4 linked regions of the Caenorhabditis elegans genome follow. The protein of the gene in region 2 purifies or fractionates together with the protein of the main gene of each other region. This does not show direct contact. Each region holds a gene or a part of one and is shown on either strand. Other genes may lie near its edges. The genes, in order: rpl-8, eif-6, eef-1B.2 and kin-19.

Region 1 (7,396 bases), on a different chromosome or scaffold from region 2:
CAGTTCCACTGATCCCAGATATTTTACATTGAAGCAGCAGGTACCCGTTTGTCTGCCACTGTTCAGTCTTTGAACCGCCTGGTACCTGGAAAATTGAAAAGTTTTGAAAAATTAATTTATTTAAGATTTGCTTAAAGGTAGAGTAGAGAAAATATTTTTTTAAGTCAAAAATAACCTGTTATCCGAATTTGAGTGTGAATTTTTTTTTTTTATTTTTTATGAGCCATTTTCACTGGTTTTCACGTACATCTGGGCTCAATGAGTCCGATCTCTTCGCTTCTTTGGCAGTCTCAGCGATCTCCGTAGCCGGCCCATCCCTTGTATGGGTCGCGGAAAGCGATAATAGCAAGTGGGGCTCCTCTTCCTGGGTCGTGGATGATGTCCTTCACGAGTCCCTTGATGTAACCATGTCTCTCGGCATAGTCGAGTGGGATGCGGATACGACGTCCCATTTTACCCTGGAAAAGTTCACTAATTAAAAATTAGAAATTTTAAAACTAAATTCCTAAAACTATTTCGATTTTTGAGATCAATCCAAAACTCACCAAGTTTTTTTTCCGGTGCCCAGGCGAAACAATTTCACCTGCAACACCGGAGAGGCGGGAATGGAAGGGACCCATGTGAATGCGACGATTGTGAGTTTTCTGCGAGAGAAACGGAGGCTTTTGTAGAAAAATGGGAGGAGGCGACGCGTTCATTGGCCAGAAGAGAGACTGACAGACAACTGGCATGAAAAAAGCGGAGAAAATTCGATTAAAAACATGGAAAAGCAAGTAAATAGAGGAAAAACTGCAAAATTTGCATCAAAAATACATTTTATAGCTTTAAAATTGAGATTTTTGAAGAAAAATGGGTAAATGAAGCGCTTATTGGTCACTGGAAAAACGAAAACCGTATAAAATGCGAGAAAATTAACTTTTCAAGCAAAAAAAAGCCGAAATTTGGCTCAAAATCACAGATTTCGGTTAGAATTTCAGCAAAAATAGCGATTTTTGTTTGAAAATGGGGTTGGGCAGCACTTTTTGAACAAGATTGCTACACATCTGTCACGAAAAACGGAGAAAATGCAACAAAAGGCATAAAAACCTGTCAAATATCAAGAAATGAGAAAATTACCAACATTTGGGACTAAAAACTGTGAAAAAGACAAAAAAACGTTAAATTTACAACGAAAAGAGAGAATTCTGGTGAGAATATTGCATTTTACTGATTAAAAATAATGAAAAAAATCAAATTTTGCAGCAAAAAGTCGAGAAAATCGGCTATTCGAAATATATTCTATAGCAAAACAAACTTTAGAATACCGTAAGAAACATCAAAGGCGCATAGCTGCCAACGTGTCATGGGTCTCGCAGCGAAGCACATAAAAATGTGTTTTCTGCATTTTTTTAAAAATATTTTTTCGTATGAAAATCAATGCTTTATGGAAACTTTATCGATATTCAAGAATAAAACATTGAAAAAGGTGTTTAGACAAGGCTTTCGTACACAATTTTCAAAATAGGCAGAAATAATCGAAAAAAATTATTGAATTTTACTGCTCCAGCTCTACACAATATGGATCGATCCTCGAGGTTGATGACAGCCGGTGCTGACACTTGAACGGCTGACTCTTCTTGCTGCAGAACTGAATTTCGACCTTTGTCGAATATATCGTCGAGGAGAGCTAGGTACCGGGATAGATCGTCTGAAAATTTGGTTATAGCTGTCTAGTTAGTCGAATTATGTGCTCAGTGTGTAGTTTTTTTGTAGTTTTTGCTTTTTACGTTGAAATTTTTATTTATTTTCGAAAAAATGTCGATTTCAAAAATTTCAGCTGTTTGCTCGTCGAATAAAATGCCGGGTACGCAGAGGCGGTGAACTACGTACCCGGCATTTAATTTGACGACGCAGTGGATTTTATTTATTTTTTCTCATTTAATGCTCAATTTTCAGACTTTTTTATACTTTAATTGACGAAAATTACCTGCTCGGGTGACATTCTTTGTAGTACTCCTCGAGAACGTCGTCTTCATACGATGGCGGAGGAGATGTGCCACACCTGGAGAGAATTTCGTTTGGAAAATTGAATTTTTCACTTTAAAATCGCTTACGGAAACTCTGTCGAATTGTTTTTTGATTGATAAGCCGGCGGTGAGAATTCATTTCTTGCTTTTGCACTGGCGGCCCTTTTTCGCATTGTCCGAGCTCCTAAAACAATTTTAGAAACACGAATTTTCGTATAAATCTGAATTTTTCACTCAAAAAACTAGATTTTTCAGATAAAATTCAATTTTCAAAGCTTCTAGAACTTCAGGAACAAAAATTTCCGAAAGAATCAAGATTTTTCATTTCAAAAATGCATTTTCGCAATTCTATCGTCTTTTAGACCTAAATTTTTGGCCAAAAACACACTGAAACATCAGTTTTCAGCTAAAAATTCAAAAATTAAGCCCGAATCTCGAAATTTTTTTAATCAAAGTGTTAATTTTTCAGCTCTCAGCTCTAAAAATTCGTTTTCCACGAAAAAAAACTGGATTTTCCCCATGAAACGTTAATTTTTCAGCTTTTCACGACGTTCGAGCTTCAAAAATTGAAACAAAATATTATTTCCAGGACTTTCATGCTTTTCGATTTTCAAAAATCGAATTTTTGTTTAGAATTACGGAATTTCTCATCATCGAAAACGACAATTTTCAGCTCCTCAAGCCTCAAAAATTGAAAATTTCGAAGCATTTTGTTTCTTTCGGGCCTTAAAAGTTCAAATTTTATCTAAAAATCGTAAAAATTGGATTTTAACGTTAAAAATCGGATTTCGAGGTAAAAATCAATGTTTTTCAGTTCCAAAATTGGAAATTTTCATCAGAAACGTCTATTTTCAGCTTTTTGGAGCTTCAAATTTCAATTTTTTGGAAGATTTTCTAATTTTTTATTCCAAAAAGTTGGATTTGCCACTTTTCCGCCACTTTTCCTGCAGTTTCCCTCGAAATTCTCACAGAAAAATTAAGAGTTTTCAAATGCTTTTAGCCCTTAAAAAACTTAATTTATCCACTAAAAACTCAGTTTTTTCACTAACAATCTCAAAAATTCACTGAAAATCTCAAATTTTTACTAGAAATGTCAAATTTTCACTAGGAATCTCGAATTTTCGCCAAAACACTGCAAATTTACACAAACAATCTCAAAATTTCAATAAAAATCTCAAATTTTCGCCAAAAATCTCAAATTTTAATTAATTTTCGAGTTTTCTAATGCTTTTAGCCCTTCAAAAACTGCTTTTCTCCACTAAAAATCCGTATTATTCACTCAAAACATCAATTTTCCAGCTTCTCACGTTGTATCGTCTTAAAATTCTTCTCTCTAAGCCTATTCGTAACTCGCTGGAGCACCCGACGTGATCTTCTCATCTCGACGACCTTGTCCAGCTCCCACTGCTTGCATTTATTAATTCCAAGCTGCAAAATTCGATGAAAAATCGATAAAATTCCCCATTTTTCCGTACCAACATGGCTGCAACGAGCCCAACACAGAAAATTATCGTCGGGAGCACAATTGACGTCATCACCTCGCTCGCCGGAATTGTGAATTGTTGTGGAGATGACATTTTAGTGGAAAATATTAGCTAAAAATTGAGAAAACTAGTGGAAAAGGGAAAAAGCTGGCGTGAATTAGTGCATTTTTGCACCCAGATGTTAGTGGTTTAGTGTAGAGAAAGGAGCAGAAGCCGTGAGCCCAGAAGAGACGGCGACAGCTCATCGATTTTTCATTTTCTCTGGCTCTTCTCTCTTTTTCTACGTATTTCTCCGGTTTTTTAACGATTTTATCAGATTTTCAACCTCAATAATGTTCTGAATAACTTTAAAATCAATTTTTTCTCCAAATTTCAACTTTCTTCCTTCAAAATTCGTAAATTCTTCTCATTTTTCAGATTTAATATTAATTTCCCTCTTCTCCTTGTGTCGATTTACGAGAAATGTTAAAGGCGCACGCTATTTATCGGGCTGTCGTGGCGAGACCCACCCTCTCCGCCGCAGCTGCTTGGCTCTCGTTTTCTTCTATTTTTTCGGCTGGCCTAAACTTTTTTCGCCAATTTTGAAGATTTTCAGTAATTTTTTTTTGTTTTTATGTTCAAATAATTATAGAAATTCAATTTTAATGCTTGTTTTGATCATTCGTCGTCTCTTTCTCTCTCAAAATCTCGATTTTTTCGGCTTTTTATCTGAAAAATATTATTTTCCGTCTAAATACGAATTTTTAATTCTCAGTTCCGATAGTTTGTCATCTCTTTCGCTGTTTTACTTTTATTTTCGTCTATTTTTGTAGTGTTTACCTCTTTTCCGCAGATTTCAGTCATAATTATTGAATTTTTTCAGGGTAACATGGGACGTCGTATCCGCATCCAGCGTAAAGGAGCTGGTGGAATCTTCAAGAGCCACAACAAGCACCGCAAAGGAGCGTCCAAGCTCCGTCCTCTTGACTATGCCGAGAGACATGGCTACATCAAGGGACTCGTGAAGGACATCATCCACGACCCAGGAAGAGGAGCTCCACTTGCCATCATCGCTTTCCGCGACCCATACAAGTACAAGACCGTGAAGACTACCGTCGTCGCCGCCGAAGGAATGCACACTGGACAATTCATCCATTGTGGAGCTAAGGGTTAGTTTTTCCTTCAGTTTGAAGCATCCGGCTTGTCCTTTTTAATCTGGCCTGAATTATTTTGATTCTACGCCCTTCAGGAAGGACCATAGGAAATTTTGCCTCTTACCCCCGGTGTGATAGTTTGTCAGAATCGGTCATTGTGTGCACGAACACTTTACTTTCGAAATTTTAGAACTAAACATTTCATTTTTAGTTACTAAATTCTAATTATTATTTTTTTCAGCTCAAATCCAAATCGGAAACATCGTGCCAGTCGGAACCCTCCCAGAAGGAACCACCATCTGCAACGTCGAGAACAAGTCCGGAGACCGTGGAGTCATCGCCCGTGCCTCTGGTAAGTTTTGCACAAATACCAATATAATCTTCATTAATCAATTAATTAATTTTCAGGTAACTACGCCACCGTCATCGCCCACAACCCAGACACCAAGAAGACACGTATTCGCCTCCCATCCGGAGCCAAGAAGGTCGTTCAATCGGTCAACCGCGCCATGATTGGACTCGTCGCTGGAGGAGGACGTACCGACAAGCCACTTCTCAAGGCTGGACGCTCATACCACAAGTACAAGGCAAAGAGAAACAGCTGGCCACGTGTCAGAGGAGTTGCCATGAATCCAGTCGAACATCCCCACGGAGGAGGTAACCATCAACATATTGGACATCCATCCACCGTCAGAAGAGACGCCAGTGCCGGAAAGAAGGTTGGACTTATCGCCGCCCGCCGTACCGGAAGAATTCGCGGAGGAAAGCCAGTCAAGTTCACCAAGGAGGAGAACGTCTAAATGTATTGTTATTTGTTATTCAACAAAATACATTTTTGTTATTAAAAAACCGCTTGTCTTTCTTTCATCAAAAAATTGAGAGCTCGATAATTTTGGAACCAAAAAAATTTAGGAAAAAAACATTAGGGAGTAAAGGCTCAGAACACGCCAGGAAGAAACCGGTATTTAACTTTCGAACAATACTGCGCCCAGTACTGCCCGTACTTGATCAGGCATCGATTCTCATCGGTGAATGCTCGTGCAACAAGGAACAGGATAACGAATAAGGATGGGATGTGAGCAATGGTGGATGGGAAGCCTTGAAATGCAGAGAAAGCGGCGAATGTGATGGCTTCGGAGGCATAATTTGGATGCCTGCATACTCCCCAATGACCACTGCCTGGAATTTTAGTGGTTTTTTTGAAGACAAATCAAGCTTTCAGCGAAAAGCTTACCTAGTAAAAGATTAGTATTAGCATCTCCGGAGTCAGTTCGATACTTTGCACTAATAAAAAAAGCATCAACTCCGCCAACTTTCAGCGTTCCTTTAGATTTCCGGAATTCATATTTCTGCCGATCGCATTTCGCAGTGAAAACCATCGAGCCAATCGCCACAGCACAGAATAAGCAGTTGGAGATCACACCGACGGATCGATTAGTCGCCACGAGAATCGTCACTGGTGATGTATAGATAATGGGTCCCAGCACGAAATCCGCCCAAATTCGATAGAAGCCGAAATCGCATCGCTTCGAGTCCAACGAGTTGAGAAAGAGGTCTTCGTTCCAGTGAAATTGGAAAATGTAGAGTAGTTGGACGCTTGATAAGCAGACGAGAGACGCTGGAATTTGAATTTTTGTAGAATTTGTTATTTCGAAGGAGAAAAACTTGAAAATTGCAAATTTCTGGCAAAATCTTTTTTTTTTTGCGTTAATTTTTCGAGAATTTCAAAAAAAATAATTTTAGAATTCAAAATTTTAGCTAACATTTTTAAATATTTGAAAAAAAATCTTGAAAAAAGTTTTTTTTGAAAATTAAAAAAAAAATTACAAATTTGTAAAATTTCAGACATTCCCAATGTTCAGCCAAAATTCCATTAAAAACACAAAAAAAACTCACTAGAAATCTGTCCATAGGTGATTTTATGGAAATACATTGCAGAAATCACAAAAAGCGGCCAAATTACAAACGTAAATCTCGTTCGGATGAAGCTTTTCAAATCGATATCCAATATTTTCGGATGATTTTCGATTCCGAACCAGAATTCCGATATTGTTGTCACTGAAAAAAATACAAATTTTTCTTTTTGAAATCTGAAAAAAAAACAAATCGGCAAATTGCCGGAATTGAAAATTTCCTGCAAATCGGCAAATTGCAGGATTTGAAAATTCCGGCAATTCGGCAATATGCCGGAATTAAAATTTCCTGCAAATCAGCAATTTGCCGGAATTTATAATTTCAGGCAAATCGGCAAATTGCAGGATTTGAAAATTCTGGCAAATTGGCAAATTGCCTGAAATTATAAATTCCGGCAAATTGGCAAATTGCCGGAATTGAAAATTTTCGGCAAATCGGCAAAGTGCCGGAATTGAAAATTTCCACCAAATCGACTAATTGCCGGAAATAAAAATGTTCGGCAAATCGGCAAATCGCCGGAATTAAAGTTTCCTGCAAATCGGAAATTGCCGGAATTTAGAGTTTCTGGCGAATTGGCATATTGCAGGATTTGAAAATTGCCGGAATTGAAAATTTCCGGCAAATTGGCAAATTGCTGGAATTTATAATTTCCGGCAAATCGGCAAATTGCCGGAATTTATAATTTCCACCAAATCGACTAATTGCCGAAAATAAAAATGTTCGGCAAATCGGCAAATCGCCGGAATTAAAGTTTCCTGCAAATCGGAAATTGCCGGAATTTAGAGTTTCTGGCGAATTGGCATATTGCAGGATTTGAAAATTGCCGGAATTGAAAATTTCCGGCAAATTGGCAAATTGC
Region 2 (7,363 bases):
TGTACAAGAGGCACACAGCCATGTACTTTCCGTGACGTGGATCACACTTGACCATCTGGTTAGCCGGCTCGAAGCAGCTATTGGTGATGTCGCTGACGGACAGAGCCTCGTGGTAGGCCTTCTCAGCAGAGATGAGTGGAGTGTAGGCGGCCAATGGGAAGTGAATTCTTGGGTATGGCACCAAGTTGGTCTGGAACTCGTTGAGATCAACGTTGAGGGCTCCATCGAATCTCAAGGAAGCAGTGATTGAGGAGACAACCTGTAAAAAGAGAACATTAGAATACAACAATCAAATTGAGCTCAACAAACCTGGGAGATGATTCTGTTGAGGTTGGTGTAGCTTGGTCGCTCAACATCCAAGTTTCTGCGGCAGATGTCGTAGATGGCCTCGTTATCGACCATGAAGGCGCAGTCGGAGTGCTCCAAGGTGGTATGGGTGGTGAGGATCGAGTTGTATGGCTCAACGACGGCGGTTGAGACCTGTGGAGCTGGGTAGATGGAGAACTCGAGCTTGGACTTCTTTCCGTAGTCGACGGAAAGACGTTCCATAAGAAGCGAAGTGAATCCGGATCCGGTACCTCCTCCGAAGGAGTGGAAGACGAAGAATCCTTGGAGTCCACTGCAGTTATCAGCGAGACGACGGATCCTGTCGAGGACGGTGTCGATGAGCTCCTTTCCGACGGTGTAGTGTCCACGAGCGTAGTTGTTAGCGGCGTCTTCCTTTCCGGTGATCATCTGCTCTGGATGGAAGAGCTTCTTGTAGGTTCCAGTGCGAATCTCGTCAACGACAGTTGGCTCGAGATCGACGAAGATGGATCTTGGAACGTAACGGCCGGATCCGGTGTCTGAGAAGAAAGTGGTGAACGACTCTCCCTCGTTCGTTGATTGAGTTGGCATGGTTCCATCGGGCTGGATTCCGTGCTCGAGGCAGTAGAGCTCCCAGCAGGCGTTTCCGATTTGGACTCCGGCTTGTCCGACGTGGATAGAGATGACCTCACGCATTTTCTTTTCTGAAAAAGAAAATTATAAAGTTTTAAAAGAGAAAGACAATTGTTATATGAGAACGAAACGATTGCGGTGAGAGCAGAGACGAAAGTGAGCCCAAATAGGGCCGAGAACGCACGAGCGCGCGCGCTCTCTCAACATAGCCCAACATCGGACACCGCGGTGGACAAGTCATCGATTGCAAAAAAATGATGACGAAATAGCGGGGCGCCAGTGGAGAGCGGATTGAAATGAGTGCAAAGGAGTGGACTGCAAGGGAGCCAAAACCCCGTTGTAAGAGACCCAGAGAATAACAATGGGAATTTCGCAATTCCCAATGGGATTACTTTGAGTCATTTTGAAACATACGTGCTTTCGGAGATTAATCAAGGAAGATGCAGCAGAAAACCGTCTTGTGAAATCGCAAAATGATTTGAAAATGTTGAATTTCAACTTGAAGAAGCTTCACGTCTTCAAAATTCGATTTTACGTGAAAACAAACATTTTTGAAAGGGCCGGAACACGGCCGAATGAGGGTAAACTATGGAAAACTGATAAAATAATGATAAAATTTGGAATTTTTCGGAAAAACGACACTGATTACGACGGGGAAGGCAGGGAAATGAGTCAGAACAAGATACAAAAAAATGTTTCGCGCCAATGATTGGTGGGTGGAGCGTGTTTGCTATATGACCTGCACATCTAACTCTCTGCGCGGCAATTCAAATCGGATTATTTTTTTCTTGTGAGTTTTGACTCTTCTCTCTTGACTTTTGAGAAGAATTCAGGTGGAAATTAGTTTTTCGCAGAAAGTTTTCAATTCAGATCTGGAAAATCTATTCATTTCGCAGTTTTTTCCTTTTAAAACCCGGAGAGTAACTTTTACTATTGGGAAAAACACTTGAAAGCGTTTTTCAAGTCATTTTTCCGGCTTTCAGTCCAAATTAAGACAACAAACAATACCAGTTTTAAGGAAAATAGACAGTTTATATTCGGAATTTATAAAACAAATGTGATAAGAACTGCCGGCGGATACGAAAATACCGAAAAAAGTAATCACCGACGACACCGAAACGGATGGAAAATCGAAAAAAAATAAATAATTGGGGGAAAGAATACACACATCGACAGAAGACCGCAATTTAGTGAGTGATATCCATGGACTCGACGACGTCGTACTTGTAGGTCTTGTGTTTCAGCACCTTGGTGGCTCCGGCCTGGAATTTGTAGACGAGGTCGTTGGGCTCTGGTCGCTTGCAGAATTCTGGCACAATTGGCCCCTTGAAGACGGTCTCGCTTGGCTCGATGATCACAAGATTCAAACTGTTTCCTGAGGCGTTGTCACCGTGCATACCGGCTTCCAGGGCGCGTTGGACAAGCTTCTCGGCTTCATCTTTCTGAAAAATATAATTATAGTATTTTTAGCGCATTGGAATTCAAAAATAGACTACTTACCGTCATATCAACCTTAAAATCACGCTCCAAAATAGTGATAGCTGCATATGATCCAGATCCTTGAGCTGTGAATGGGAAGGCCATTGTAGTTCCGTTGGCGGAGCACATATAAAGATGTGGGCCAGTTGGATCGACTCCTCCAATGAGCAAGTAGGCTCCGATGTATCCTTGATAGTTGAAAAGATGCTGCTTAGCTTGACGAAGAGCGGTGATCACACGAGCCTTGCGCCCGGTGTTTAATTCCAGAAGACGGAGATTTCCAGAGAGCATCTTTGTGACTTGATCGAGATCGGCGGCGGTTCCGGCTCCGCAGGCATAGATCGACTCAGTGAGCTTGTGAACCTTCTCGCAATGCTTATCGGCGATGATATTTCCGGCGGTGGCACGGGAATCAGCTCCCATCACAAGTCCGCCCTTGAAGGCAACGGCGACGATGGTGGTTCCGGTACTGGTGAGCTTTGGAGCCTTTCCGCCCATCTTGCACATTGCCTGATTACGAATGCAGTTGGAGAAGTCGAACGCGCCTCCACGGTCCATGTCCATGTGTGGGACGGTGGATTTGACGTCAGCGGTGGCCATTCTGGAATTAATGTTGTATTTGAAAAGATCTCACAAAACATTTTGAGAAAAAAAAACAATAAAAATGACAGGAAAAATACGGAAAACCATCTAGAAAAAACTGATTAACGAAAAACTTCGATTTCCCTGATTTCTGCTGTCTCACAAGTGATTTTCTGCAGATAACCTATTCAATAGCGAACTTCCACTTAATTTCTACAAATTTTTAATCAAAAATACGCTAGAAAAGCAGGAAAAATGGTGGAAAACTTCGAAAAATGTTGGAATGCTGACAAAAAGATTTTTCAAAGTCATCGCAACGACACTCCGAAATAACGCAAATTTGTAGAGTTCCGTGGAGCGTGTTTGCACCAAAAAATTTCCGTTAATTTTATTTTATTTTTCAATTGAAAATCTCTGCCTAAAACTTTTAATCTTAAGTTTTTCATTGACTTTTTGAGTTTTAAAATTCAAAAATTGAATTTTTCGTTCATTTTTAAGTAATTTCATATAAAACTGCCTATAGAAAATGAAAATTCCCTGTTATTCAATATTGCACAACATTTCGAAGCTCCGCCCATTTGTAGTTTGTATTTGTCTTGCTAACACCCATTCTTTCTCGTTTTTCCAATCAATTTTTACTATTTTCTCGATATTAAATCAATTAATTTTCAAAAAAAATTCCAGTTTCCCGGTTGAAAATGGCTCTCCGCGTCGATTACGAAGGATCGAACGATGTCGGTGTGTTCTGCACCCTCACCAACAGCTACTGCCTCGTCGGCGTCGGTGGCACTCAGAACTTTTACAGTATTTTGGAGGCCGAGCTCAGCGATCTCATCCCAGTCGTGCACACGTCGATCGCCTCGACCAGAATTGTCGGAAGACTTACAGTCGGAAATCGTCACGGACTTCTCGTACCAAACGCCACGACTGATCAGGAGCTTCAACACTTGAGAAACTCGCTTCCAGATGAGGTATGCGGGCAGGAAATTGAGAATAAATATTTAAAATTTGAATTTTCAGGTCGCAATTCGCAGAGTTGACGAGCGTCTTTCCGCTTTGGGAAATGTTATCGCTTGTAACGACCACGTCGCTATTGTTCACGCAGAAATTAGCGCAGAAACTGAGCAGGTAAGGAGAAATCCTACAGAACTGCGACTTTCAGTGTGATATTCCCACTTTTTTAATCGAAAGTTAGTAAAGAATCGTCGAAAAATGTTCGATTGTTCTGAAAATGATATTTATTTTTTGTTCAAAAGTTCGAAAAAGACCCAAACTTTAGTCGGAAACGGACAATTTTCATAACTTTCTTATTAATTTTTGATTCAAATGCTTGGCTTAACATACTGAAATTAACAATGTTCACACTACAAACTACAAAAATTCCTAAATTTTCTCTTTCAGGCGCTCGTCGAAGTGCTCAAAGTGGAAGTATTCCGTGTCAGTCTCGCCCAAAACTCGCTCGTCGGCAGCTACTGCATTCTCAGCTCTAACGGTTGCCTCGTGGCCGCCCGTACTCCACCAGAGACCCAACGAGAAATCGCCGCTCTCCTTCAAATCCCAGTCGTCGCCGGAACATGCAACCGAGGATCCGAGCTCATCGGAGCCGGTATGGTCGTCAACGATTGGGTCGCATTTTGTGGACTCGACTCCACTTCTACCGAACTGTCCGTCGTCGAATCGATCTTCAAGCTCGGCGAGCAAGGAGCTCCGACAAGCATCAGCAATCAGCTCAGAGATACTCTGATTGAGAGCATGCTCTAATCTTTTTTCTCACTATTTTTTTGATCTACCATTCATTGTTTTCCCACCTTTTTTGTTGTTGGTTTCCCCGTTTTTTGTTGTCAATGAAAAAACCCCTGAAAAATTCGAATTTTTCTCTCTTAATTCCTTCTTTGATGTCAAATCCTCACAAATTTATACCTTGAATTTCACTTTTAAAAGTACTTTTTACACGCTATAAATTTAATTTTCGCTTGATTTCAGAAGAACACACATCAACTAAACCTACTAGGTGAGTTGGACTCCACTACAAACTACACACAAAACCCTGTAGCCTGAACCAAAAGAAATCTGCCTAATTTATAGAGTCCGACGTAGCGAAAAAGATCACGAGAGAGATAGTACGAGACGCTGAGAAAATGCGCGATCACATTGCCTTAAAGGAGTACAGTGTAGTGATAAGGAGAACTATTCTTATCACTACTAATACCCCAATTTTTTTCAGAACTTTCCGTTTCAAAGTTTATTTCGATTTCTTTTTATTTGATTTTTATTCCAGTTTTTTGGCGTAAAAACTGGAATTTTGACTGAAAAACTGCAATTTTTGTAGATTTTTAGTGCTTATATATTTTTGGAATTCGACCTTTCAGCTGCTTTTGGCAATTTTTACCTGTTTTATTTGAAATTTTAGCACGAAAAACTTAATTTAGGCGAAAAATACTCAAAAATGTGCTGAAAAATAGCATAAAACCTAAAATTATGCGTTTTTCGTATGAACGAAACCCGTAAATTTCCGTCGAAAACTGTCAGTTTTGGAGTTTGTTTTGATGAAATTGTGAGGATTAAAAAACTGAAAATTTTAATTTTTAAAAGGGAAATATATTTTTAAAAAAACTTTTTTTCGATTTTTCGCCATAAATAATTAAAAAAACACTAATTTCTACAATTCCAGAACAAATAAATCGGATTTTTCTCAATTTTACGCCCGGAAAACAAGGAAATTTCTAATTTTTACGATTTTAGACCAGAAAAATCGAGAAAATTCACGATTTTTCTGAAAAAAAAATTTAAAAATTCTAAATTTTGTGATGTTTGTTACAAAAAAAATATAAAAAAAAAAAAAAAAAAAAAAACTGAAAAAACAAAAAAAAAACTGAAAAAAATGTAAAGTTTACAATTTCACACCAGAAAAATCGAGAAAATCGAAAAAATATATTTCTCATATTTTCTCTTGCTGGAAAATTCTAATTTTTACGAAGTTTGACCAAAAAAAATGTTCAGAGAAAAAAAAATTCAAAAATCGTAATTTTTGTGATTTTTATTTAAAAAAATCGTTGAAAAATTGTATTTCACCAAAAAAATCGTAAAAATTCACAATTTTTCGGATGAAAAAATATTTAAATTGTTAAAAAAAAAGGTAAAAATTTTGAAATTCAAATTTCCAAAACTTTAATTAAAAATGAAAGTATTTCCACTTTGAAAACTGTAGAATCCCTGCAAATCTTTGATTATATTATTTTTCAACTTTAATCAATTTTTGATCTATGAGCTTTTCTTTATTGTTTATATTGTTCTTCTTTCCCCTCAACCATCAACTCAATGATCAACTCTTCTCGTTCAGCTTCTCCAAAAAAATGGTAAACTCAACAACACTTGCCCATCTTAACACAAATATCGATCACCTCACTACAGTACTCTCTTCATATGCTGGAAGAGATAAAGCAATCAGATCTTTAGCATTCTATCTTCAACTCAAAAGTACCACTTCACCAGATAATGCCAAAGAAATTCTGGGCCTAGCGAAACAGCTTAGTGCCGCCCGTCTAGTATCCAGACAGTTTAACCATCCAGGAATGTTAAAGTCTTGTAGACAAATTATGCAAGCTTTTCAAACTGGAAGAATCGGAGATCCTTTGGAATTCCTCACAGGAGCAGCTGTTACAGGAATCTACACAGTCTACGGATTCGTTGAGCTTCTCGCCTGGCTTAGTGACGCTAAGATCCTTGCATTCAACTCAGCGAGGCTCTACAAATGGTGTCTTTACCTTTGGTTATCAGAACTTATCAATGGAATTGTTCGACAGATGAGAGTGATTTATCGGAAAGGAATCGAAAAATCGCAGGAGGATATTTTGACGCTTGTCGGATTATCATCAGACTTTATCAGTGGTGTTAATAGCCTTCCACACAAGATTTTATGGGCTGGAAAGTTGTCGATGCGGCAGAGTGCCTCGTTTTCATTGTTGGCTTCGATTATTGGATTTTATAAATTATGGTGATGTAGTTTTGAATGTAGACAATAAATTGGAAATGAAATCGATGAAATGCTCAAGTTTATAAATAGCAAAAAAAAAAACATCGGTAGACTTTATTTGATCTACTGTGAAAATGTTTTCCGGCAAATCGGCAAATTGCCAGAATTGAAAATTTCCGGCAAATCGGCAAAATGCCAGAATTGAAATTTCCGGCGAATCGGCAAAATGCCAAAATTGAAATTTCCGGCGAATCGGCAAAATGCCAGATTTGAAATTTCCGACAATTCGGCAAATTACCACAATTGAAAATTTCCGGCAAATCGGCAAATTGTCAGAATTGAAAATTTCGGCAAATCGGCAAATTGCCAGAATTGAAAATTTCGGCAAAT
Region 3 (7,846 bases), on a different chromosome or scaffold from region 2:
TTGGCCGCCCATTCCAGTTGCCAATTCGCAGGTTTTGGTTGTGCAGAAACCGCTGGAGATGGCTGAGAAGATGATGATGAGGTTCTCTGCTTCTTGAGCAGCTTCTCGGCTCGTTCAGCTTTCTCCTTTTGCGTCTGCTGAAGGGCATCATAACTGTGCTCCGAGTGCTCTTTTATACGCTTCGAATGCCTGATGGGATCCGATTCATCTGGTGGTTGAAAGTCTGGATCTTCCTCCTCAACTTCCACTTTTATTCTAGTCAGCTTCTGCTTTTTTGGTGGCTCCTGTGGCTCCTGTGAAACAACAGCCGCCGCCACATCTGGAACTTCTTCTTTTATCGAAACTTTCTGCTTCTTCTTCTCGGGCTCTTGAATCTTTGGGGGCTCCGGATCCGCCGCCGCTTCAGGCTCATCTTCATCCTCTACATCCATTTGTTCTGAAGCCAAAAGTCGAGCACTTTTCCGTCGAGATCGCCTCTCCTCTGATTGCGGAGTGGTGCTCAGAGTCGTCTTTCCATTCTGTGAAGTTGATGGCTCATTTTGAGAAGTTCCAGGTTCTGGCTCTTCGGGTTCTTCGATTTTCACTGCCGGCGCTTTTCTTTTGAGATCCTTCTTGACGAGCGGAGTGGCGTTCTCCTTGTTCTGCTTCTTTCGACGTTCGGTGACTTCTGGAACTTCTGGAACAGGAGCATCTTCTGTCGCGGCTTCTTCCTCTGGAGGTTCCTGCTTTATTGATGGTCGTCCTCTTCGTTTCGGTTTCGGAGTCTCCCGGACAGGCTCATCTTGCTCTTCTTCTTCTTCTTCCTCCTCTTCGGGTTCTTCTTCTTTCACTTGCTGAGCTCCTCGAGTTGAACGGCGTATTGAATCAACTTTTGTCGCAGATTTCGGAGTTTTTGCGGCAGGCGTCTTTTTGGCAGCAGCTGGAGCTTTTTTCTGCAAAAAATATTGAATTTAAAACTGGTTTTATCGATTTTTAAACTAACCACCACTGCAGGACTTGAAATCGATCCATCCTCAACGCTTAAAAACTCTACAAGCCTGTCGGCAAGTACTGTCTGCACCCCGGAAGTGTCGAGTCCGCGGTCTTGTAGTTCCTGAAAAGATAATTATATTAATGAAGAAATTTTATATTGAAATATTCCTCCTACCTTTACAAGTCGATTTTTAGGCAGCAACGGAACGGTGGCCTTGTTGAGCGTTCCACTGGCACCACTGCGACGAGAGGCGCGCATGCCTGGAATTTGAGAAAATTAAATAATTTTATATGCTACGAAAAATGCGGCATATTAAGCGAATAACTAATTCACACCAACGAGAAAAATAATCGATACTTTCACGCGCGAAAGCAACTGGGAAATCTCGACCCATCGGACAATAAAATGAGATTTCCGCGAATTTTATCGATTTTTCAACGAAATTTCAACGCAAAATCATATTTCCCATGTAACAGGAAATTATTTTCACATTTTTCTCGCAAAAAAATGATGAAAAACGGCTGAAAACGCGAAATTTCTTTGTGAAATTGAATCACGCGAAAAATGACGCTTTGCGCGAAACTTGTAACCGTTGCTGACGCGTTTCTCGTGCGCTTGGCGTGTTTTTCGTGCATTTGAATTTTTTTGGCGGGAAATGGGGAAAAACTCACGGCGGAATCGATTTTGTGTTCCATTTGAGCAGCATTTTTGCTCTAAATTTATATTTTTTGAGTTGAATTCTGTGATTTTAATATTCAGTACTGCACCAGAGTTCACAAACCGGAGGAAATTAAATTTATTCAACGAAGAACTGACGCAATTTGCACCTAATGAACGTTTATTTAACCGATGAAAACATTTAATATTGTCTATAAATGGAGAAAAACACCGAATAAACCAATTATTCACAAGGTTGAAATACAATAGATAGAAATAATGGATATAAGAACAACTGATTAGGCCTTTAGATCTTGTTGAAGGCAACAATATCGACGGATTGGACGTGATCCTCGAAGTCTCCGGTGATCTTCTCGATGAGATCATCGACCGAAACCTTGAGATCCTCGATGACGGTGATGATCTGGAGTTTCTTGATTCCGTATCCGATTGGGATCAGCTTGGCACCTCCCCAGACAAGTCCGTCCATCTCGATGGATCTGACGAGCTTCTCCATCTCTCCGAGATCAGTCTCGTCATCCCATGGCTTTACGTCAAGGATGACCGAGGACTTGGCGATTGGGCCGGCCTTTGTGGCCTTCTTTGCGGCGTAGGCAGCAAGGCGCTCTTCAACGACCTTCTTCTTCTCCTCGTCCTCTTCCTCGTCTTCGGATCCGAAAAGATCGAAGTCGTCGTCTCCGGCAGCTTCCTCTTTAGCAGCGGCTGGTGCGGCAGCTGGAGCAGCGACGGAGCTGGTCTGAAAACAAAAAATTAGTATTAGAAAATGGAAAATATAAAATTAAGGCTTTTGGACCTCGGAAACTATAACTTCGCAACTTTTTCAACGATTATTTTTTCATAACAATAACATACAACAAATAAATTAACAGAAGACGAGCAGATCTTTCAGGTGAGCACCAGTGGAAGATTATTGGCGACAATCTCCTCAGCAATCCGATTTCTTAGCTCTTCATGGATTCTGGAGCACATTTCACGTCCCATCGGAAGCTCGAGGCCGTGCCATATAATTCTGTAGATCCTATTTGGGAGTGGCGGATCTGGGCAGATGGATCGAAGATATTCAATCTCAGAAATCGCAGCTAAACAATTTCCAGCGATCGATTTTACGAGCTCCACGGCGAGCTTCTCTCCTTCGCTCTCACCGATTTTGAACAAAATCGACAGATCCTGGGCGTAGAAGGGCCTATAGTAGTTGAACTTGAACTTTCCACTCCTCGGAGGCTCAGCCAATTGAAAATCGCGCAGAGACTTCTGCTGATTATCACACTTTTTGAAGGAAAATGTCAATCCTTCACGATTATTGAACCCTTTTTTAGTCTCTTTATAACCGGAAGATCTATAAGATGCGAATCTATCAGTATCGAACCTCTCCAGACTGTCGAGAATGAAGCCATTCTCGGCGCCCAGATAGATTGCCTGCCAGGAATCTTTTTTGTGACTTGGGAGCTCGTTCATCCACGGATCAGAGACCTTCTCGAGCCCAGACTGTCCAATGGCAAGACTGAGAAGAAATACTGCTTGGCTATCCATAATACTTCTGAGGGAAGCAAAAATTCCGGAGAGCAAAATTTTACTCTTTCTCAGATTGGTTTTACCGCCAGGGTGTGGAAAATTCATGATAACCGTGTTAAAGATGTTGCTCCAGCGAACCGGCAGATCTGTCGCGTCAACTCCAAAACATAGGATCACATTGCTCAAAGCGTCTAGAGCGTTTAACGTGTCATGAGCGTTGTATTTTTTCAAAAACTGTTCTTTCGAATCAAAAACAGTTGCAAAGTATACAGTTTCCGGATCTGACGACGCAATGGCAAGGGAAAACGAGAGATTTCCGTCGCCAAGAATCAAAACGTGACGACGATGATTTACCTGTCCTTGGCGAAGAGTCGAGAGTTGAAGTTGAAGCTCAGCGACAAGACTGGCCAAGTCGTCGACCTTCTTGGCAAGAGCAGAGTGCTCTTCGCGAAGCTTGGAGACGTCCTCTCCTCCTGAAACAGAAATGCGTTAAATTAGCTTTCAGAAAATGCCAAATTTACCTTCTTTGTTCAAAGCCTTATCAGCGGCATGCTTGGCATTGTGGATAGCTCCCTTGAGCTCGCTCTTTCCTCCCTTGCATCCTAAAAGACTTGAATATTAAACATTTTATATAAAAAATAATAATAAATACCGTGGTCACCACCAGAAGAAGTTCCTGGCTTAACGTCGGAGAAGACACGCTTCCCTCCATAGAACAATTGTTCTCCAAGAGCAGCATCCAAATGATGAGCGTTGAAGTGCTTGACCTCAGAGAGAAGACCCTCGACAGACATTGTTTTACCTGAAAATTGAATAATAAACTATGCTGGCACATTAAATAAAGTTATAAATAAATTTTCCGAGCGTCAAAACAAATAAAAAACCGAACAACAGCGCTAGAAATACTAGAAAACTGCAAAAATTACCCAAAATTTCTTCACATGCAACACGGCGCGGCGAGACCCATGCGCTGTGAATCTCCATGCGCCTTTAAAGTTTAATGGAGGGAAGTTCAAAATTTGAAGCGAAATCTATTTTTATCGTGATTTAAATCATGATTTAATGATTTTCCATGGTTTCTCAGCTTCTAAATGCAATTTCTGAACGAAAAACAACAAATTTACTTGGAAAAAATAAAATAAAGTTAAAAATACAGAGAAAACCCGTTTAAAAACGCGAAAAATTAAAATATTTTAAAATTTCATTCGGAATCCGAGTCAATTTCACTGGCACGCTGATCCATAATAATATCTCCATCAATACTTCGACTTTTGACGAGTCCAACAGTGAATGCATTCAAACATTCATTTTTCACCATTGCCGAATGAATTACTCGAAGGCAATTCTCACTTTCTGCACGGAGTTCCGGGAATTTTTTGAGAAGAAGCACGCATTTGTTCGTCTGAAAATTGAGATTTTTTGTTTTTTTTTGAGAAAAAAATTGCAGTGGAGGTAACACGTTTTCAGGATCTGGAAAATTTTTTCGATTTTTTCGGGCAAAAATAAAATTTTTTGGGTTTTTTTTAGCCAAAAATGGATTTTTTTTTGATAAAAAACTGTTTTTTTCGGACAAAATTGGATTTTTTTTGGACAAAAATAATTTTTTCTTGGTTTTTTTAAAAGTTTTTTTGAGCATAATTGCAAAATGGTTTTTTTGTGGGGGTTTTGTGGCTAAAAATGGGTTTTTTGGCCAAAATTGGATTTTTTTCTTGGATTTCTGGTTTTTTTTAATCAAAAAATGATTTTTTTTTTGGATTTGTTTTGGGCAAAAAAAGATTATTTCTTCCTTTTTCTAAAGGTTTTTTTTCTAGTTTTTTGGTCAAAAATTGATTTTTAAGGATTTTTTGGTTTTTTTTTTTTTTAATTTGGATTTTTATTGTATTTCTGGTTTTTTAAACCAAAAATTAATTTTTTTTTGGATTTGGTTTGGGAAAAATTAATTTTTTTGGGTAAAAAGGGATATTTTTGGTTTTTTTTAGGTTTTTTGGGTAAAAAATGAATTTTTATGGTTATTTTTTGCAAAAATTGTTTTTCGGTCCAAAATGGTTTTTTTTTCCGGTCTGTTCTGGTTCAAAATTAATTTTTTTTCTTGGTTTTTGGACAAAAACTCACTTCTCGTATTTTACAAAAAAAAATTTTTAAAGCAAAATGTGGTTTTTAATGGGTTTCATATTCTGAAAAGTTCATTTTAAAAAAATCGAAATTCGAATTTTTTTTTGTTTTTGAAGATTTTTTTCTACAAATTTCAATTTTTGTTATTTTTCGCCATCACAAATTAAAAAAAAAAGAATTTTTATTTCAATTTCGGACCAAAAAAAAATCAAATTTCTCTTTAAAAAATCCAAAAATTAAGAAGCCTGTTTTTTTGTTTTTTGCCCCGAAACACTGAAAAAAAAAATCCATTTTCCTCTGAAAATCCAAATCCTGAGAACGTGGAATTTTCCATCGCAAAAAAAAGAACCTTTGCAAAAGTTCCAATACTCTGCAAGACACGATTTCCCTGTTGAACAGCCGATAAAATCTTCTCAACTCTTCTACAAATCGTATCGAAATTGGTTCCCTTCGTAATATTATCCATTAAAAATATGAATGAGCTCTTTTTAGAAACAGTAATCAGAAATTGTTTTCCCTCTTTAATAGCCGACGTCAAAACCGCCGTAGTTCGGATTTTATTGATTCTAAGGAGAAGGCAAAGGATCAGAAAGCATGATGAAGCAGTTTCCCAGGATTCCAGAGTATCCTCGATGTCGACACCTCCATTCTTGGCAGCACTGGCCGACATATCATACTTTAAGCATCGAGAATTCAAATTTCCGAATAAAGTTTTAAAAATGACACCAAAAGTCGTTTTACTAATACAATAAAATGTCGCTTTTCGATCTTCTTTTTCCAATAAATCATCATCAGATTGTTGTGAGAATACGCAGGATTTCCGTTTATCATCCTCTGGAACCAGCTGAACTACTTTATTTGTCAGAATCCATTGAATCGCCAAAAGTTGATCTTTTTCCTTTCGAAGACGAATATAATGGTGAAGAATGTCACGAACTGCACATGTGTAGCGAGTTCCTTTGCTCCAGAGCTCGTCTACTTTGCTCCAATCTTTTTTGAGATAGGCGAGCGCGTATTTTGCTGAAATTTGAATTTTTTTCGTTTTTTTTTAGAAGAAAATTTTAGAAGAAAACAAAGTGTGGAAAAAAGTAAATTTTTGAAATTTTTCCTGAAAAAATCGATTTTTTTTTGTTATTTTTCGTCTTAAAACGGAGACATTCTGCAAAAATTTTGCTGAAATTTGAATTTTTTTTTCGTTTTTTTTAGAAGAAAAATTCATGTTTTTTTTCATGGAAATAAAAAAAATAAAATTTTTTTTCTGAAATTAAACAAAATTATATGCATTTCTTCGGAAAATCGACATTTTTTCGCCGAAAAATTAATTTTCCAAAGAAATATTGATGACATTTGATAGAATTTACACATTATTTTAGCTATTTTTAACCGTTTTTTAGAAGAAAAACATATTTTTTTCCATCAAATTGAACAAAAAAATACGGAAAAAAAGTAAATTTTCTGAAATTATTTTTTCTGAAAAAAATCGATTTTTTTTTGTTATTTTTCGTCTTAAAAAGGAGACATTTTCGCACATTTTTTGCACAATTTTTGCACATTTTTAGAGCTTTTTTTGCACAATTTTTGCACAATATTTGCACATTTTTTACACATTTTTAGAGCTTTTTTTGCACATTTTTTACACATTTTTTGCACAATTTTTGCACATTAAAAAAATTCCAATATACCCATAATTTTCCTGGTCTCCGCATCATCATCCTCATCCAATTTCAAATCTTCAAAAACGTCCAAAATCGCCACGGCAACCGCAGGAGTCGGTGAGAACTCTGCAGATTTGGCAAGAAATTTGCCAATTTCCACACGAGCCTTTTCAGAATCATTGGACAAATGCTCAGAGCTGAGCATTTTCTTCTCGATTATTCGAATTAGCACAGATTTCCGTTCTACTCGTTCTGCCGGGGAAAGCTTCTCCTCACCACCATAGAGTTCACCGCTGAAAAAGATTTTTTGTGATCTACAACATGTACAGCAACGTGTGGTTTACGGTTTGATCTACAAAAAACGCGGGAATTTTTTCCTAAAAAATGTGACGTCGGCACGCTCTTAATCATGCAAGATAAGTTGTGCTTTGCGTCTCGTCTCCCGCATTTTTGTAGATCAACGTAGATAAAGCCGATATGAGACACTTTGACACCTCAGTCCACTGGGGCGCACTTGCGCTCTTTTCAGTTTTTTTTTTTGAAAATTGGAGAAAAAATGATTCTTTTTTTTCTCATTTTTCTTCTAAAAACAATATAAAAAATTGCAGAATTGAGCGCTTTGATAAAAAGAAGCAAAAATATTTCAAAATTTTTTTTAATGGTTTAAATGCCAGAAAATAGACCCTAATAACCGAATATAATTGTTAAAAAATTTAAAAAAATTTCTAAATTTTTTTATGATTTTTTTTTTCAATTTTTCAAAAATCAAAAAAAAAATCGGCCGAATTAAATTTGAATTCCCGCGCACATGAGTGACGTCATTTTCGATATTTTTGCAATTTCTGGCTAAATTTGTCGGTTTTTCTTGATTTTTCTTCTATATTTGATTTAAAACACCGTTTTTGTCAATTTTCAA
Region 4 (9,107 bases), on a different chromosome or scaffold from region 2:
GGAAAACTTTTTTGGAAGGATGTCCAGATTCGGGAAAATTTGAGTAATGTCGGTTTCAGCCTGGAAACATGTTTTGTTATTGCCTGCCTACGTGCCTGCCTACCGCCTATTTTCGAGGCAGTCGTAGGTCACCTTCATGACTGAAACAGGTACCGAGCGTTAACTTACTTCTTTTGATTTATTCATTGTTAGTGAAATTTTTCGAATTTCGGAGATTCGGCCGGCAATCGGAATCGATACTTTTAAAAATGATTACATTTGGTTTTAAAAAAACTCAGAAAAAAAACCCTCGCGTGAATAAACAAATTTGAGTTTTTCGCCACTTTAACTTCACTTTAAATTTAAAAAAAATTAAATCTGAAAACTTCTGTAGTCTGTGACGTCACACCTCCTCGTGGTACGGTAGGAGTACGGTACTACTGTAGTTAAATTTTCCAAATATTATGGCGTGGATGGTAGACACATGCCTCATGTCTGCCTTTCTGTATGCATAAAAATGGACTTTGACATTTGACACGAGGCATACATAGGTTGCCTTGAAGGTAGGCAGGATATTTTGTACCTACATGGAAGGCTTACTGTAATAGTATTAAACGTTCTTGTCAAAAATAACAAAAATTGCTTTAAAGGTTGTCACCCATTTGGAAACTGAATAGTACTTTCTTACTGTAGTGCCAAGAGCACGGTAGTTATTTATGCGAAAATGTTCTAGAATCAGCTACTCAAAGTTAATTCAATAATTTCAGAAATAAACATGTCTGGAAACCAAAACGGCGAAAACGTTCAACAGAAAAAAGAGAAAATGTGTTCGGTTCGTTTCTTTTTCTGTGTGAAACTAAATGTCTTATTTTGAAAAATTCATATTTTTCAGATCGGAGAAACCATTTACACATGGACCCAGAACAAGCACGCCACCACTTATGTCGGAACATACACTAAAGCTTTCTTCTCAGGCGAAGTTTGTCGCGAAATCAGAGAGCATGACGAGTTTCTCGGGATGAGTTTTTCTAGCTTTTTTTAAAATTTAATTGAAATTTGGGTACCAACAAATGTAACTTTTGAGATGAACAATAGCTTGGTGAAAAATTTTATTGGATTTGTATCAAGTTGTAGCTCGTTAGACCATGCATATCTCCTTCTCAAAAACTATCTCCGCAAGTTAAATCGATGGCCGGAGTATTTATTTTCCTTTCCTAGGCCATGAATGGTTCTAGACATTAATGTCGACATTTCAAACCTCACACCGTACCTCGGCTTACCGTAAAATGTATTTGAAACAGTTCGAAAAGGCAAAAAATTCAACCATTTTAAGATAGTCGAGAAAAGGCGCTCTGTGACGCCTCGAGAATAAAATAATTTTTCCAATTTTACAGAATGTTTGACGAAAAAGTGCGACTCGGTCAAGTCACCAAGCCGACAGATTTCAAACTCAAAGTTCATGATGGAGAAGATCGTAAGAATCAGCCGAATTCAAGCGGAAGTGGAGAAATGCATTTTGATAGACCTTAAAACTATCTTTTGCAAGTCATGTTGTAAATTTTTTTAAAATTCTAATGCTCTACTGAAAACTTTGATTCTACCAATAATAAACCCTATACTATTTTTCCATATATTCCATTACTTTACACTTTATAACTTTATGCTTTATAAAATCTAATTTCATCAATATATTCTTCTCAATAAACATATTTTATTCAAAGATTGATAGCTTCAAGAAACTTCCAGCTACAAACGATAGAGCAAATCTAAATTATTTTCTGAAAATTGGAAACCCTGAAACTTGTCAATTAGCAACGTATAGTACCACATCAGAAATTGACTCAAACTTATTTTGTGTTGCGAAACATAAATAAATGTTCCTACGTTACCCTACTACAGTAACCCCACATTTTATTAACTGAAGTTTTCGTGAATCCTCCTTCGTACATTGTTTTTCCAGTATTCAAATCTGAAAGTCAAAGAAATCTGTAACTTCGAACTTTTGTTGCTGTGGAATTTTCATAGTTTTTCACTTTTTTCGGTTAATTCTTTCAATACGGTGGAGTAGCGTCAGAAGGGAAATTGCTTCAACAGATGCCTTTGGCAAGACCAAGTACAGTACTCTAGGCTTAAAAAAACGTGAAATTTCGCATCTGAATTATATTTTTTCGGAAAATTCGAAAATTTTTCATCCAAATTTCTTCCAAATTGTAGGCCTACCCCTAATCACCTCTAAAATCATTCATAAAAGTTTTCAGATTGCCTTTTTTTCCCATTGAGTGTGCTAAATTTTGTGTTGGGGCCTAACAAAATGGTATTTTTCAAAATGTCACAAGCTTCATTTGAGAGTCTAAAAGTGAGCTGAAACTTTCCTTGTAGAAGCTGAAAATTCAAATTTTTGACTGTATCCATGATAAGGTCTGCAACAAAAAAACGTACAAACTGAATGAATCAGAATTGTTTTTGGTTGCTTTTTTGCTCTCTTTTTCTTCCATTTTTTCCCCATTTTCTTCCCCCATCACTAGTAGTAGTAGTTGTGGTCGGCATAAAATGGAAGGGGAAACATTTACTCCTTTTTCTCAATTTTATACACTATTTCTCGATTCTCTATGATTTCTCTATGCTCTCCGTGTTCTGTGATGAAGAAGCTTCTTAATTCGCTTTAGTGAGAGAAAAAAAAACGTATGAATTCCAGAAGTGAAATTGCAATTTTTCTTCATTTTAATGTTTGTTTAGCTATTTCGTAGTTGTTATTTTTTAGTATTTTTTCTACATTTTAGAAACATTCAAATCACGTGCTGCTTGTCATGGGCGTGTAGACTTTTGTGATTTTATTAAATTAACATTGATAAGAATAAGAACATTAGCGTCAATTGATAACATTTTTTGCGGTAACATGGGTACTTTTTTGTCGAATGTTCTCAGCGGCTTCTGTTCGTCAAATCTGCAATTTTTAGATTTTTTGCACCAAAGTGCATGCACTCTCCAGTATTCTGATTCGCTCTTTTCCTTTCTTTTTGTTCCCAGTTTCCCTAACTTTTCTATTAGCAAAAAGAACGAAATAGGGTTTTTTTTTCGCTTTTCAGATCCTTTAAATTTTGTAATTTTTTGTTTGATCGATTAAAATATGAAGGGGAACAAAACCTGACTGTAATTTATCAAAAAATCGACAACTGTCTCTCGTGTTGGGTGTAAACTTTTATTTTGAAAACCGGTTTTTTGTTCGATCCGACAAAGGAATTATTTTTTGGGAAAAGGGCAAGAATTGAGTTTTCAAAAGCTGATTTCAACCTTTACCAGTGTTTTTTCCGAAATTGCTCTTAAAATTTGTTTTTTCTCGTTATTTTGTTAATCCACCAGCGTTCTCCCCATTTTCCACGTGATATTTCTCATTTAATCGAACAAAGTGACTCGTCTCGTTCATAAAAACGTAAAAATGTTCGAGGCGAGACGAAAAAGAGTGAAAGAAAACCGAGGAAAATGGGCGAAACTGATGCAAAATGCGAGAGAACGAGAGAAAACGACGAGTCGAATTTGAATTAGCGCGCAACCGCGACGCAATGAACACTGCGTCGCGGTCGGCCTTCCCGGTTGTGTGACTGACGAAATCGGTGCCCGACACCCTTTTCGCCCCGTTTCTTCATCGATTTCTGCTCGTTTTTCGACGTTTTTCGTGTTTTCGGCTGGGAATTATTTGATAATTGTGATAAAGTGGTCGGTATATCTAATATTTGGTTTGAAATTGAAGAAAAACGGCTAAAAGTGAGCAAATAAAGGCTGTCTTGTGAGTTGGATTAGGTGGCAAGTGAGTCATTACTGACGTTTTCAGACGGGGATTTCTAATGTTTAATAATTTTAATGAACTTTTTGGACGATTATCACAAGATTTCAAAGCGTGCACTTCGTTTTAGTGCAAGAAAGCCGAGAAATTTAGGATTTTAGCCATTTTCGATCGCTTTTTTTAAATTTTAATTGTTAACGCTCACTTTTTGATCGATTTTTGTATTAATGGCTCTTAATATTCGCAATTTATTCGTTTTACAATTTAATGTGAGAACAGGAGTAAAGAATTAGCAGTGATTATTAGCCTGCAGCTTGAAAAGCTTGTCCTTCGCGCACGTTTGTCAGTCTTGGTTTCTGAAGTATTACTTAAATGTACATGCGTACTTTCTATGTTTGAATAAAGTGTAGTCAGCTAGATTTTCAAGTTTTGAAGTTTTCAGCTATCGATTTTCCAATTTAGCTCAATTTGTTTTCACCTGAAACAATTTATTTTTCTCCTTTCTTCTCGATTCTTTCTTTTCAAGTTGTCTGTTTTTATTTAAAAAAAATAAGCAGCACTTCTTTCAAATCCGCAATTTTATGTCGTCTAACGTAGATTATCCTAGATTTTCGGAATATTTATGAGGAAAGTTTTTTGATATCACGAATACCTTTTTTTGTTTTCTAATGGAATGCTAAATTCAATTGGTAGTCGATGAAAAATCCTGAATCTTTCATTTTCTTTCAATTTATGTTCTGTCAGAAATTCGATGAACTACCGGGCTCTCAATAAAAAAAAGGTGTTGTTTACCCAATCCAATCGATTTTTGTCGCCAATTCGTTTACAATATCGTATTTCATCATTTCTGTTCCATTCTCAACCGCGTACCGTTTTCGTTTCTCTATTTTCCGTTCAAAAATAGCATATTTTCAGGTAGAGCTCCTCTTTCTTGAACCACCAGGTGCCCTCGTGCACTCAATTCGTGTTCTGCTATCAAAGGTATCGATTTTTACCATTTTTTGTTTAGTTTTAGTCAGTCACGATAGTGAATCATGAATTTTCAGCACGATCAGAGCAAACAATGGCAGGTGTGATGTCAGTTAAGGACTTCATCGTTGCGACAAAATACAAGCTCATACGAAAAATCGGATCAGGATCATTCGGTGACATTTATGTATCGATCAACGTGACGAACGGCGAGGAGGTGGCCATTAAGCTGGAAAGCAATCGGGTTAGTTTGAGCAGCTTCCATATTCTTTTTCGAATAATCATTCATTATCGATTTTTAGGCGAGGCACCCGCAGTTGCTGTACGAGTCCAAAGTGTATCGTATCCTACAGGGAGGAGTCGGAATTCCACATATCAGATGGTAACCTTTTTCTATAAAAAAGACCTAGGAACATATTTACCGCGTCTAAATTGTTCTAAAACTTGTAATTTCAGGTACGGAACCGAGCGAGAGTACAATGTGCTTGTCATGGATCTTCTCGGTCCTTCATTGGAAGATCTCTTCAATTTCTGCTCCAGAAGATTTACCATGAAGGTCAGTGGTGACGAGTAGCTTAAAATGAGTTTCAGCAGCGGATTCCTCTGCTTCACCGCGCAATTACTTCACGTGAATATTTCAATTTCAAGAATTACTTTGAAATTCGCACATGAAACGTATTAATGATCATTGTTGCCAATGTGTTAGAGTATTGGTCATAGAAATAGAGTTCTCAGAGTTCAGAGTAAATAAATAATAAACGATTTCGAAAATGAGTGCATCCTTCTCACAAATTTTCATTATTAAAGAAGTTTCCATCAAGATAATTTTTTTTCAGACTGTTCTCATGCTGGCTGACCAGATGATCGGACGTATCGAATATGTGCATGTCAAGAACTTTATTCATCGTGACATAAAGCCAGACAACTTCTTGATGGGAATAGGACGTCACTGCAACAAGCTCTTCTTGATCGACTTCGGATTGGCCAAAAAGTAATCACTCACTATCATAGTTTAACAAATATTCATCAAATTATTTTCAGATACCGTGATTCACGCACCAGAACTCATATTCCATACAGAGAGGACAAGAACTTGACCGGTACCGCCAGATACGCATCCATCAACGCCCACTTGGGAATTGAGCAGTCGAGAAGGTATTTTAGATTTTTTTTAAATTTAAAATTTACTGTTTCAGAGATGACATGGAATCCCTTGGATACGTTTTGATGTACTTCAACCGTGGAACTCTTCCATGGCAAGGATTGAAGGCCGCCACGAAAAAGCAAAAGTATGAGAAGATTTCTGAGAAGGTTTGTGGTGTGATCCTGTCATTTTATCGATTTTTCAACTTAATGTTTTCAGAAAATGACGACATCAGTCGAGCACTTGTGCAAAGGATTCCCAGCTGAGTTCCCAATGTACTTGAGCTACACAAGAGGACTTCGTTTCGATGAATCTCCAGATTACATGTACTTGCGGCAACTGTTCAGAATTCTCTTCAGAACGCTCAATCATCAGGTTCGTGTTAAAACAATTACAATTACAGAAAACCTTTTCAAACATAATTAATACTTGAATGAATATTTTAAAAAAAGCAACATTGTTTAAGAAAATATAATAAAATGCATATTTACAGTACGACTACACATTCGACTGGACAATGCTCAAACAAAAGGCTCAACAATCGCAATCCAGTGGCGTCCCCGGAACCAACACTACTACACAGGGAGCTACCGTTCCATCAGCTGGAGTTCCAGCTGGAGTTGCACCAGGAGGAACTACTCCACAGTAAGACGTTTTGTTGCCGTCCTGAGGCTTTTTAATCCAAAAAAGCCCATGTTAAATCATGTACTATCCTTTCTTTCGTCTCTCTACTCTTTTCATTTTTTTCCCCTCTACTATTTTTGTCTTTTCTTGGGCTAACATGCCTCTTTAACTGTGTGCTGAAAATTGTGGAATGTTTTGTTGTATTTTATCTTTTAACCAATTTTTTAACTAAAGATGAATACTCTCTACTTTTCGCAGTTTCAGCACTTTTATTTGTCGTTTTATAAATAGTCTCATCATCTTCTCCTACTCTCTTTTATTTCCTTCTTTTCCATTTTAGTAGGATTTTTATTCCCCCATTTTTCGAATCGTTTTGACCTTTTTTTCTTGAATGCCTCCCTATCAACATACCAATATATTTTTCTCTCTATTCCCCCCTACCATTTTTCCCTTTCCTTTCTTCGTAATGATGAAAATGTCCCAATGTCGGGCACTCAAAAATTAAAAAAAATACTGAAAAAGTCAAGTGGCCGAACATGTTTTTGGGTATAACCGGCTCACCTTGACACACCCACCCCCTCTCTTTTGGCTCCAAATGCCTCTCAATACCCTCCCATAACTTCCCCACCCAGAAATCAGAGCCCCACTCCGTTCTTTTTTGTGTGTAATCAATAAATTGTCGTAATTCTCATCACATTGTTTTTTGCGACCTTTTCTGAAAACGACCAGAAAAGATGCGCTTGAGTCTCTCACATCTGCTGCTGTCGAATTTTTTTCCGTTTAAACTTTAAAATGAACAAGTTCATCATTTTAGAAAATTTGTTTTGTTTTCAAACTTTTCAGGAATTTAGTTTTTAAAAAATTAATGCTATTTCCCGTAACACCCTTTTGAACTTTCCTACCCTAAAAATATGTCTATATAAACTTCCAAAAAATACAAAACTTCACATATCGGATAGTTCAATCGATCGCCAACAATTCGATGGCACAAAAGCCCAATGGGCCTCCAAAAGAAGACACTTGGGCATGACATCCCGATCTCTGGACTTTCATGGAATAATGGAGGAGTTGTTGAATGCTCGACAAGGATCCTGAACTGACGACAAAAAACCAATTGGAAGGATAAATTTAAGTGCTCCAATATGTTGGAGCATCCAAGGTAAGCTCTTTCAGCAGATAATTAAAACTTTTCAGGAAAAACGGAATTTTCCGAGAAATTCGAAAGAACACAAGCTCGACGAATATAAATATCATTTCATGTTTTAAGACGAATAAATTTAAAAAATAAAGAAGAATAAGAAATTGAATAAAAATTGATTGAAAGCTTACTCGTTTTATTGTTATCCAAAGTCTCAATACTGTTTTAATGTTTTGGGTCTCGTTAGGTGTACGCTGAAGAAGTTATTACCTAACAAGAGCCAAAATATGGTTGATGATTTCTTTTTCAATTCGTCTGGAAAAAATTGCGATTTATTTATAATTTTCGAAACTCTTCTTATTCGCAAAAAAATCCGTTTGTTCTCCTCTACAAAAGTACCTACCGTATATTCTCTATTAGTGCTGCATGCAGCACTAATTTCCAGGCCCTTTTTTAATGCAGCACTATTGGAGACTGCAGTACTACTGGAGACTGCAGCATTAATTTTCGAACGGCAATTTTCAATTATAGATCACTAGTTTTTTGTGACAAAAACTCATTTTTTTCAGCAGAAATTCATTGCGAACATTGCGAACTTTTGTAACAAAAAGACCCACTAATTCAATTGCTTTCATAAATTATCAAAAAATCATCAAAAATATACAAAAAATACCCAAAAATACCCGAAAATATCGAAACTGTCAAGTGACTCTTTTAATAGAAAATGGGGTGCAGCACTAATAGAGAAAAACGGTACTTGTGTTTAAATAAATGTGCGTTAAATTTAACTTTTTGAAGTTGTGCAAACCCTGTCCCAATGCACCATGTTCCACCCGAAAGATTTACTGCAAATGAATTCCTGATATAAGTAGAAAAATAATAATTGAGAAACCATTTATAGTAAAAATTCATTGTTTTGTTTTGAAAGCACCGAAAATCGTATTGTGAAGGATGTTTGTGTGTTGTGTGAACCCGTAACGTTTCGAATTGATCATTTAGACAGTGTAGTAGGGCGAGGCAGCAGAGGTTTGCAGTTCGACCTGCGATATCTTGTATCTCACTTTCTTCAGCCACTCCGTCACCAACGGAGCTTCCAGGGAGGGCTGATTTTGGCAAGAGTCGAGTTTCATTCTGTCATAAGAGAAATGGTTAGAAGCGGATCAGAGTTATCGAAAGGACTTACCTTAATTGATTAGGTATTTGCGAGTGATAGGCAGTCAGGATGGGTGCCCACATCGAGTAAAGTTGACAGAGAAGAGCAGAATTTACTTGTTGAAGAGCTTGGATTGTGTTCAGAAAGTGCAAGTTGACCATGTCGGCTAGCTGAAAAATTGTTATGCTCACTATCAATTGATAAATAAGGTTTATATGTGCTCTGTGAGCCACTAGGGAGTCTCTAGGCATACATGCCTGCCCTTCTAGGTTGCCTGGAAAGCAGGCATTCTTGTGGCTAGTTGAAATGAGAAACTATG

Evidence for each region.
Region 1: the proteins of eif-6 (region 2) and rpl-8 fractionate together in Caenorhabditis elegans (co-fractionation; one large-scale study listed by BioGRID). This does not show direct contact.
Region 3: the proteins of eif-6 (region 2) and eef-1B.2 fractionate together in Caenorhabditis elegans (co-fractionation; one large-scale study listed by BioGRID). This does not show direct contact.
Region 4: the proteins of eif-6 (region 2) and kin-19 fractionate together in Caenorhabditis elegans (co-fractionation; one large-scale study listed by BioGRID). This does not show direct contact.

What each region holds. Positions count from the first base shown.
Region 1 is NC_003283.11:20,475,337-20,482,732, forward strand, and holds rpl-8 (Large ribosomal subunit protein uL2), read left to right. Parts: upstream 1-4,352; 5' UTR 4,353-4,358; coding exon 4,359-4,638; intron 4,639-4,672; exon of another isoform or gene 4,673-4,797; intron 4,798-4,864; coding exon 4,865-4,975; intron 4,976-5,031; coding exon 5,032-5,423; 3' UTR 5,424-5,498; downstream 5,499-7,396. Other genes in the region: calf-1 (CAlcium channel Localization Factor), read right to left, coding at 1,549-1,687, 1,967-2,041, 2,094-2,190, 3,314-3,434, 3,482-3,583; dhcr-7 (7-dehydrocholesterol reductase), read right to left, coding at 5,561-5,802, 5,858-6,241, 6,520-6,681.
Region 2 is NC_003279.8:12,965,262-12,972,624, forward strand, and holds eif-6 (Eukaryotic translation initiation factor 6), read left to right. Parts: upstream 1-3,684; 5' UTR 3,685-3,698; coding exon 3,699-3,971; intron 3,972-4,020; coding exon 4,021-4,128; intron 4,129-4,401; coding exon 4,402-4,761; 3' UTR 4,762-4,974; downstream 4,975-7,363. Other genes in the region: tba-2 (Tubulin alpha-2 chain), read right to left, coding at 1-259, 310-1,002; pbs-2 (Proteasome subunit beta), read right to left, coding at 2,127-2,381, 2,440-3,018; prx-11 (Peroxisomal biogenesis factor 11), read left to right, coding at 6,354-6,998. UniProt on the Caenorhabditis elegans protein: Binds to the 60S ribosomal subunit and prevents its association with the 40S ribosomal subunit to form the 80S initiation complex in the cytoplasm. May also be involved in ribosome biogenesis. Involved in miRNA-mediated gene silencing.
Region 3 is NC_003282.8:15,033,460-15,041,305, reverse strand, and holds eef-1B.2 (putative elongation factor 1-beta/1-delta 2), read right to left. Parts: upstream 3,976-7,846; 5' UTR 3,958-3,975; coding exon 3,816-3,957; intron 3,766-3,815; coding exon 3,685-3,765; intron 3,637-3,684; coding exon 2,537-3,636; 3' UTR 2,468-2,536; downstream 1-2,467. Other genes in the region: hrpu-1 (B30.2/SPRY domain-containing protein), read right to left, coding at 1-932, 983-1,093, 1,148-1,231; fcd-2 (FANCD2), read right to left, coding at 4,365-4,565, 5,625-6,295, 6,958-7,223. UniProt on the Caenorhabditis elegans protein: EF-1-beta and EF-1-delta stimulate the exchange of GDP bound to EF-1-alpha to GTP.
Region 4 is NC_003281.10:4,082,205-4,091,311, reverse strand, and holds kin-19 (Casein kinase I), read left to right. Parts: upstream 1-4,675; 5' UTR 4,676-4,741; intron 4,742-4,806; 5' UTR 4,807-4,823; coding exon 4,824-4,973; intron 4,974-5,031; coding exon 5,032-5,111; intron 5,112-5,185; coding exon 5,186-5,285; intron 5,286-5,565; coding exon 5,566-5,720; intron 5,721-5,770; coding exon 5,771-5,884; intron 5,885-5,925; coding exon 5,926-6,040; intron 6,041-6,092; coding exon 6,093-6,248; intron 6,249-6,366; coding exon 6,367-6,522; 3' UTR 6,523-7,309; downstream 7,310-9,107. Other genes in the region: Putative casein kinase I C03C10.2, read right to left, coding at 1-60, 169-186; C03C10.5 (uncharacterized protein), read left to right, coding at 755-811, 872-1,001, 1,374-1,546; unc-79 (Uncoordinated protein 79), read right to left, coding at 8,631-8,766, 8,819-8,958.